Kluyveromyces lactis: one gene and its partners. The protein of the gene in region 3 interacts with the protein of the main gene of each other region in a pairwise test. Links are inferred from orthologs where the notes say so. Each region holds a gene or a part of one and is shown on either strand. Other genes may lie near its edges. The genes, in order: YCH1, ATP11 and KLLA0_F21406g.

Evidence for each region.
Region 1: the proteins of KLLA0_F21406g (region 3) and YCH1 interact in a two-hybrid assay, tested with the Schizosaccharomyces pombe proteins (2 studies listed by BioGRID). The link is inferred for Kluyveromyces lactis from reciprocal best matches to the Schizosaccharomyces pombe genes mdv1 and ibp1.
Region 2: the proteins of KLLA0_F21406g (region 3) and ATP11 interact in a two-hybrid assay, tested with the Schizosaccharomyces pombe proteins (2 studies listed by BioGRID). The link is inferred for Kluyveromyces lactis from reciprocal best matches to the Schizosaccharomyces pombe genes mdv1 and atp11.

The regions. Positions count from the first base shown.
Region 1 is NC_006041.1:1,475,222-1,477,554, forward strand, and holds YCH1 (phosphatase YCH1), read right to left. Parts: upstream 1,074-2,333; coding exon 621-1,073; downstream 1-620. Other genes in the region: peptidylprolyl isomerase ESS1, read left to right, coding at 122-610; PCT1 (choline-phosphate cytidylyltransferase), read right to left, coding at 1,371-2,333. UniProt on the Schizosaccharomyces pombe protein: May play a role in DNA replication checkpoint via regulation of hsk1 or may act downstream of hsk1 in an S phase regulatory pathway.
Region 2 is NC_006041.1:652,917-655,349, forward strand, and holds ATP11 (Atp11p), read right to left. Parts: upstream 1,518-2,433; coding exon 561-1,517; downstream 1-560. Other genes in the region: prephenate dehydratase PHA2, read right to left, coding at 1-174; DAL82 (Dal82p), read left to right, coding at 1,874-2,433. UniProt on the Schizosaccharomyces pombe protein: Essential for the assembly of the mitochondrial F1-F0 complex. May interact with the alpha and/or beta subunits of F1-ATPase.
Region 3 is NC_006042.1:1,995,734-1,999,376, forward strand, and holds KLLA0_F21406g (WD repeat MDV1/CAF4 family protein), read right to left. Parts: upstream 2,645-3,643; coding exon 527-2,644; downstream 1-526. Other genes in the region: SPC34 (Spc34p), read right to left, coding at 3,071-3,643.

The DNA of each region.
Region 1 (2,333 bases), on a different chromosome or scaffold from region 3:
TGAATGGGAATTGAACTGAACAGTAACAGCAGGTGACAATTTAACTACACTGTACATATTATGTCTCCATTATTGTGATATATAACCCAATCTTATAATTTATCTACCCCACAATTTCGTCATGGCAGGTACAGGACTTCCAGAACCCTGGGTTATCAAGTTTAGTAGATCGAAGAAACGTGAATACTTCTTCAACCCGGAGACTAAGGAATCGGTTTGGGAGGCACCGTCAGGTACAGATGAGGACCAATCAAAGAAATACTTAGAGGAGAACCCATTGAGGGTCAGAGCTTTGCATCTCTTGATTAAGCACAAGGATTCTAGAAGACCAGCGTCTCATAGAAATGAAAATATTACCATTACTAAGGATGAGGCTAAAGAAGAATTAGAAACTTATATCAAGAGATTGAATGGTGGTGAACCATTCGAATCATTGGCTAAAGAGAGAAGTGATTGTTCATCAGCGAAAAGAGGTGGTGATTTGGGGTTCTTCGGTCATGGAGAAATGCAACCTTCTTTCGAGAAGGCTGCGTTTGCTTTGAAAATCGATCAAGTCAGTGATATTGTAGAATCTGACAGTGGTCTTCATATCATCAAAAGAGTTGCCTGAACAGGACTCTTCACCATAAATCGGGTTTATAGTTTTCTGTAACAGCTTCATCTAACCCATAATTCGATTGCCAGTAGTTAAACCCGCCTTTCAATACCCATATTTGGAACCTGTTCAACTGAGATTCTGGTATCGACCGTAAAAATAGCATAGCAGAGCTAGGACCTCTCTGTTGTGATTGTGCGCAATGGAAAACGCAGTTAATAATTTCTGATGCACCATCAGCTCCGATTTCAGCTTTATCAAGTAATTCTTGTCTCAATGTATCTACGTAATTCAGATCCGATTTAAGCCTTCTGTAAGGGTAGTTCCAGGATCCCTTGATATGTCCACCTATATGGTCTGAACCTCGAACATCAATGACTTGGAATGGTTGTCCTAGAGATGTGTGTCCTTGTTTAATCCACTGGTATAGGTCTATTGCGTCTAGATATTTCAATGAAGATATGGAATGCGATTGCATGATGAACTTACGTTGCAAAAAAAGCTTCAATCAACTGAGGATCCAGTAAAAAAGTGTCTATTTCGAGGACCGTGATTCGCTGCTATTTGAATTAACCTTTCTATTCTCCTTCTTTTCTTTGATCGTTCACTTAGTTAAATGAGTGGTTAAAGTTAAAATGTCAACGAAATAGGGCATATAAAAGAGAGAGAGAGAGAAATGTATGTAAGTATACAACGGGTACAGGATACATATATGCGAACGAAGTAGAAATGATATCAAATAATAAAAAGTAAAACAACAAGTATATGAGGCGTTTCAATCGGTAGTTGGTGACCTTTCCCTGTCCCCTTCCTCTTCGTCGTCATCTTCATCTGAAAACAAATGATTCGGCGATTCAGAACTACCTCTATGCAGTTCAGGATCACTATCACTAGTTGGAGATTCAACCTCTTCACCAGTGTAGTCTTTCGCGAATTGAGTTACTGGGGATCTACCCGAAATCCTTTTACTTCTTCTAACGCTTTCATGACCCATGGGTCCAATAAGTTTTGAATACAACTTCTTTCCAAGTGTCTTTTTAAGAAGCATTTCTCTAACTTCGAAATACAAGTCCTTTGATGCGACGTTGACAGATTCTTGGTTCTTCTTGAAATACGATCTGAAATCTTGAATATGTTTCTTGAATTCCAATTCGTTCTTCTTCAACCAAGATACGTTCAACTCCTGTCTCGTGGCACCTCTTGCGAAATTTCTCATCAAGTACTTGTCATAGTCTCTGATGATCTTGGTGATAATATCACTGGTAGAAACACCTTCGGTACGTTGGGTAGTTAAAAACTTACCCATTGCTTTAATTGGTCTGTAGATATCGTCATTATCAGCACTAGCGTATGGTAGATCGTCATGTGCCACATAATCGATCTTGTGTTCTTCTAAAAATTTCGGCGTCACAGTCCATGGGGCATCCGGTATCACTTCATCAACCCATCTACAATGTGTCAACGTCTCGCATCTCTGCTTATCGGTAAGGACAGTCAACCCTTTCAACTTGTGCGTCACTTTATCGCTTGGAACACCACAAATCAACGTCACGTTGGGGAACGACTTCTTACACTGTTCCAATTGTTTCATATGACCCAAATGGAAAAGATCAAACACACCATCCGCATATATACGAATCGGACGATCTGTTGGTGGTAAATTGAACTTGAAGCCCTTAGGTCTAAACTTTCTATACTCAACAGGTAGCTCTTCATCCAACTCCTTTTCCCTGGCCTT
Region 2 (2,433 bases), on a different chromosome or scaffold from region 3:
GTTGGTGGAGTTTTCGAGAGGAACTACCCCGTAGTCCATATCTATGTCTGAAATGAGCTTTTCGAAACATGCAGGGATAGATGTCACCGGTATTAGCTCCTCGTTTGGAAATTGTTGGAGTGCTGCTTGATGTGAATATGTTCCCACAGGGCCCAAGAACAATACTTTCGCCATTATAAATGTAGTAGAAGTAAAACAAGGAGATATTCCAACTTCCAGCAAACAGTGTACAATGTGCAACTACTGTCGGGGCTTTGTACTGTTTGAGCAGAACGAATTCAATCGATTCTACTCATAGGTTGGGTCATCGATGCATCCATATGCTCGTAGCACTTCTGGACCACACTTAGTCATAGTGGTGAAATTCATTTTGATGAAGTACACGTGACTAAGAAGAAAGCCATTCCAACGCATGCTGCCCAACCTCGAACCACAGCCTGCTGCTACTCAAAACCGCATGCTGTTAGCATAGATCGAGTATGATGGAATGTTTTCTTTATACAAGCGACATGTATATATATATGTATATAAATATATATAAATGTATTAGGAATCTTCCACTACTCCATAACTTGAGAAAGAGCAACTAATAGATCAACATTGAAGTTTGGAGATCCGTTGGTAAAATCCTTCAAAAGTTGGACCCTCTTTTGGGCAAACCCGGAGTCTTGTCCCATAGCACCATAGAATCTTTGAACGTTCAAAAGCAATAGTTGAGATTCTGGTAGGGAAACATTAGAATCAGATTCAACTTGGCCGTTCATCAATACAATGTTCTTTTCCTTGGCCAAATCCAAGTGGAACTGTAGAGTAGTATGAGGTCTTGCAAATTCTTTGTGCAATTTATACTCTGCTAGAGTAGTCATAATACAGTGGACGGTTTTAGGTCCTACAAATTGCCACTGAATGTAATGCATTTCCATGGCCGGTTCTTGTTTCTCTGCAGATTCAGCAGCAGTTTCTTCAACTGCACGCTCTCTTGGCAAAGGGATAACGAAGAATGGGTTTTCTTTGGCTAAGGCACTGATCTTTTCCCAGATATCGATTGGAACAACAGCGTTCAATACATTGTCCTTATTGGCCCATCTGGCTCTCCAAAGAAATTCGCATTCTTGTTTAGAGAGGTTTTTCACTTTTTCCACATCCAAAAAGCTGTCCAAAGTCTTAAACGGCTGTTTTGGCATAGATGGATCAATCGGACCACGGGACTTAGCAATGTTAGATGACATTTTGGTTCTTTGTTCGTAGTCTTCCAATTCTTTCAGTGGATCAATTCTGTTTAACTCGAGTTTCTTCTTTTCAATTTCTTCTTTCAAAGAATTCTTAAGTTCCTCAATGCTATTAAAACCTTGTTCGCGAGCCTTGTCCAAAAGCTTGTCCTTGTACTGTTGTTCTAATGAATCAGTAGAGTAACTAGAGTTTGATTGGATTGATGACGCACCAATAATACGTTTGAATTGCGTAGCAGATAGTTGCGAGGCCGATCTTTTAACAACACGGGTCCAGCTTTTTATCATGTGTCCGAAAAATTACCTGGATAGATTCACAAGTTGTGTTGATAGGTATCCTCTTTCAACTAGTGAACTTACTCTCTACAGTAACCTATTTCCAGTGAATTCTTCCGTATCTCATTAAAGTTGGTAATAGTAACTTTGTTCCAATATCACTTTTCATAACTTTTAAAGAAAAAGGTAAATTCTAATCAGCGTATACCGGTTCAGATAAGATACATGCAAGAAGAAATTGAGAGGATGAGAAATATGAGTTAGGTGTGACTTGAAACAGTATATTGTCACACTGAATTGCGGTGTGAAGTTATCACACCTTGATACTTCCCTTTTCTGCTACTTTTTAATATCGAAATCTAACCTACATGTCACACATATATTCGCATTCTAATTTGGATGAACTCTTGGTGTCTCTTTTGGGAGAATACAAGCCACATCTTCAAACACATAGCCATAGGATGAAATCATGGAACACTTTGCTCAAGGAGTTTAATAGGCGATCTGGATTAAATTACAGGCAAACTAGGACATTGAAAAGGAGGTTTGATAAGCTTTGTTCTGTTTATCTTAAATATGGTAGCGTGAAGGTAACGAATTTCGAAACCTTCAAACAGTTGGTATTTGAATTCGAGCATGAACGTCAAAAATCTGATAGTACTGCCACTGAATCAAGTAACGCTCTAAGCATGCTGGCGCGAAGATTGGCGGAGACCGGAGAACTGGTCAATTCGAACTCAGACATTGGTGACGATGATGTGTTGGAGGATGATTTGGAAGAGGAAAGGCGGTATGGCGATGAAGCTGACGTTGATAATGGACCGCAGCCTATTTCAGTACCTAGTACAGCTAACTTAGAACCAGCAGAAATAATTTTGGATGATAATGATGATGATCGAACACCTCTTGATTCCATAACGATATTACC
Region 3 (3,643 bases):
AACATCTTGAATAATTTGTATACCGTTGTAAAGCCATATATTGCAAGTGATTATTCTAATATAATCTCTTTATGAGACGGTATCTACATTATAGTGTGGACATTCTCAACTAATAATCACGAAATTGGTTGTGTGGCCGAGCGGTCTAAGGCGCCTGATTCAAGATACCTATCTTAACCAACCTTACAGTTGGGAACACTCAGGTATCGTAAGATGCAAGAGTTCGAATCTCTTCGCAACCATTTCTTTTTTGTTAAATCTTAGATTTTTTTGGCTTGGAAGCATGTCTTGTTAGTGGCTTGTAGCTAGAAACATTCTACTGCACGCGAAAATAACTAGCAAGGTATTATGAGGATGGTCTTTTTATACTAGTGAGTTATATACAAGTGATCACCTACATTGTATGCTAATTATTTTTCTATTTAATTTATGGGGAATAGTGAAGAATATTTATTATTTTTGAAGTAATGTGCCAGATGACGGCAAATGTCATAACTCTCATTTCAGCTGAAACAATTTTGTAGGTCTAAATTGCCCAGGTGTTGATGTCACCATTCGAGCGCCCTTCTACCAAATATCCGTGTTTGTATCTAACAAAATCCACGTTACCTTGTTCAGGATCATCTTCGCCGCAGAACCAGTGGTTACCGTCTTTCCTGTTGTAAATTTTCACAGTAGGCTCATTGTTTGAAATTACAATCTTATCCAGATCGAAATGTAGAGAAGTGATCGGTTGCTCATATGCAAATACGTCAGAAAGTATACCAGTTCTTAAGTCCCATATTCTTATACTTCTGTCCATTGCACCTGTAACTAGATTGACCGAGTCGAACTGAAGGGAGGTGATGGCGTCAGTATGACCTTCTAACATACGTACTACTTTCCCGGATCTTAAATCCCAAAGCCTTACGATACCATCTTTAGTACCTGTCGCCAAGGCAGCATCGAAGCATTGTAAAGCTCCAATAGCCGGCGGTTCCTTGGTTAGAAGTACACTATTACGAAGAGGGATGTTTCTTTGAGACCGCATAGGGCCAGTTGCGAAAGATATATCTATGGTTTGGGTGCACTTACCACTATTCAGATCCCATTGACGTACTGTCCTATCCTGAGAACCAGAAACCAAATTGTCACCGTCAAAACTTATTGCGGTGATTTCATCAACATGAGAATCAAAGGTATATAAACATGCATCATTATCTTCAGATGAATTTGACGCTTCATCAGCCATGGCCTTATCGATATCCCACAATTTCAGAACTGCGTCCCGACCACCAGTAATCAGGGTGCTATATTGATCAATTTGCATGCAACTGATAGATGCTAAGTGTCCATGCAATGTAGCAATTTGTTTTTTTTTACTTAAATCCCATACTTTTACCGAGTGATCTAGACTGCCAGCAGAGCACATAGTACCAAATGGCATATCAAAATCTAGGCAAGTGATATCTTCATCATGGGCCTTAGGAAGGCTTGTAATCTTAGATCCGGAATCATAGAACTGTTGTAAAGTTGGATAAGTTTTACGGCGGCGATTACGGTGAGAAACACCAACATCTTTAATTTTTTTGGAAGTACTATGTTTCTTCCTTTCGGAAATATCCGATTTCTTCTCGTGGTCTTGTAGCTGCTGATAGATGGATTTGGAAAGCAATGGAGAGTGCTCTTCTTCTTTGTTTTCTAAAGGAGTGGTAGCCGCAGTTTCATATGTTTCGTTAGTTTCTCCAGTTTTAGGCGAAAGTTCAGATAATCCATTTATATTTTCTTCATCCTCCGATGAGTATTCTTTATCCATGTTGTACTCTATAATCATATCGATTCTATCCTTAACGTTGTTCAAATGCTTCTCCAAAAACAATTCATGCTGCTCAATTTTAGCCACTCGCTTGAATACTAGTTCACGCATCATTTTTAACTTTTCCAGCTTGATATCTAGCTCTCTTATTTCGCTAGCTGCTAGATTTTTCTGGATTTCAAGTAAATCCAGGTTATCGGTGATTGACCTCGAGGCATCCTTCAAGAAGGATGCGGAGTAAGAATGCAGAAGTTTATCAGCTTTTAAATGGTCTGGCAAACTAAACTCTTCCTCTTGTTCTTCTTCTTCAGCGTAAACTGGGATGGACTCAGAGTCTGTTAAGGGTTTCATATCGCTATTCATTATAAGTTTTTGCTGTAGTTCTATCGTTTCATTAATAACAGGTAAAGATGCTTCAAATCCTTGAAATAACGTCGGTTCTTGCTTTTTTGACTTTGCAGATCTTTTCTCGCCATTTTCTGTTATCATGTTCTTGTTCTGAGGTATAGTGTCTCGTGGGGCGTCTTCAAGTAGATCATCACTCAAGTAACTTAAAACTTTGAATGTTGTTTTTGGATCACTATAAGAGTTTTTAAAGAACTCTTTGCTATTGGAATATATATCTTGGAAACCTGTATTCTTGCCTTTAGATAATTTCACGTCGTGGCGTACTTTAACTAGTGATGATCCCCCACCTGCATTAGTAATTGTCTCATGAAGCAATTTCTTATATGGACTACTGTATGAAAGAATTGTGTCTTCCATCGGCTGCGACGAGAATAGAACAGACGCCGTGGTAGACAGTGCCTTTCCCAGATTGGCAAACTGGTCTCCCGTATTAGAACTCATAGTTCTGGCACCACTAACACTCTTATCGAGGCTTTTGCTCGCAACATATGTTTCTTTAAGATTTGAAGTTGTAATAGGAACTAACAACTCTTTGTTTCCATGTATCTACTTTTTTGTACTCTGAAATTAGAACTTTCATTGCAGCAATAAAATCATATGAAAGAACGAAAACCGTATTCTCTGTAGAAGAGCAAGATGCCGTAGAAATGGAACTACGATATATTTCGTTATCATAAAATTAGAACCTTAATAATACAAAAATGATATATACTGAACTGAAACTTACATGAATATTTCCATTCCAGTGCGAGATTAATTCCCGAAGTGTGAAATATATCTTTCCACTTCATTTCGGCAAGCATATCGGTTTTTCTTGGATATAACTTATTAATGTATCAAATGGATTTTTAGTACCGCTGCTAGATTTCACTTATTTCTCCCTTCCAAAAGGTCCAACTGTTTCTCGAGCTTCTGTATTTCTTTCTCCTCTTTATCGATGAGAGATGATATTGACGTTTTTTCCGGTAACGCTTCGTGTTGGAAGTCTAACTCCTGGATCTCTACTTTCTTCTGAAGTTCATTAATATCAGCTTGTAATCCATTGTATATTTGCATTAGTTTTTCAAATTTCTCCTTGTATTCAGTGAGAGGCCATTGATCTATAATTTCCCGGAACACAGATAATATAATCGAGATTGGGAAATCTTCTACGAAAAGAGTTTTCCTTCTTGATACATCCTCGCCAGTTATCACACTTCCATTCCGCAATGCATGAAGAAATTGCTTGATTTGTTCGTCCTTGCTGAATTTTTTCAATAGCACGTCGTAGATTCCCAGCTCATCGCTGTTACTTCCTTCGAAGATAAAATCTCTTGCAGGTTTCTGTTTCTTTCGGATGACATGATCGTTTTGACTGAGATAAAACCCCTTCGGTATGTAGGTAATAGGTCTTGGATCTGGTAAACATAGTGCTCTGTTCCGTTTCAAAGTTGCTTCCCT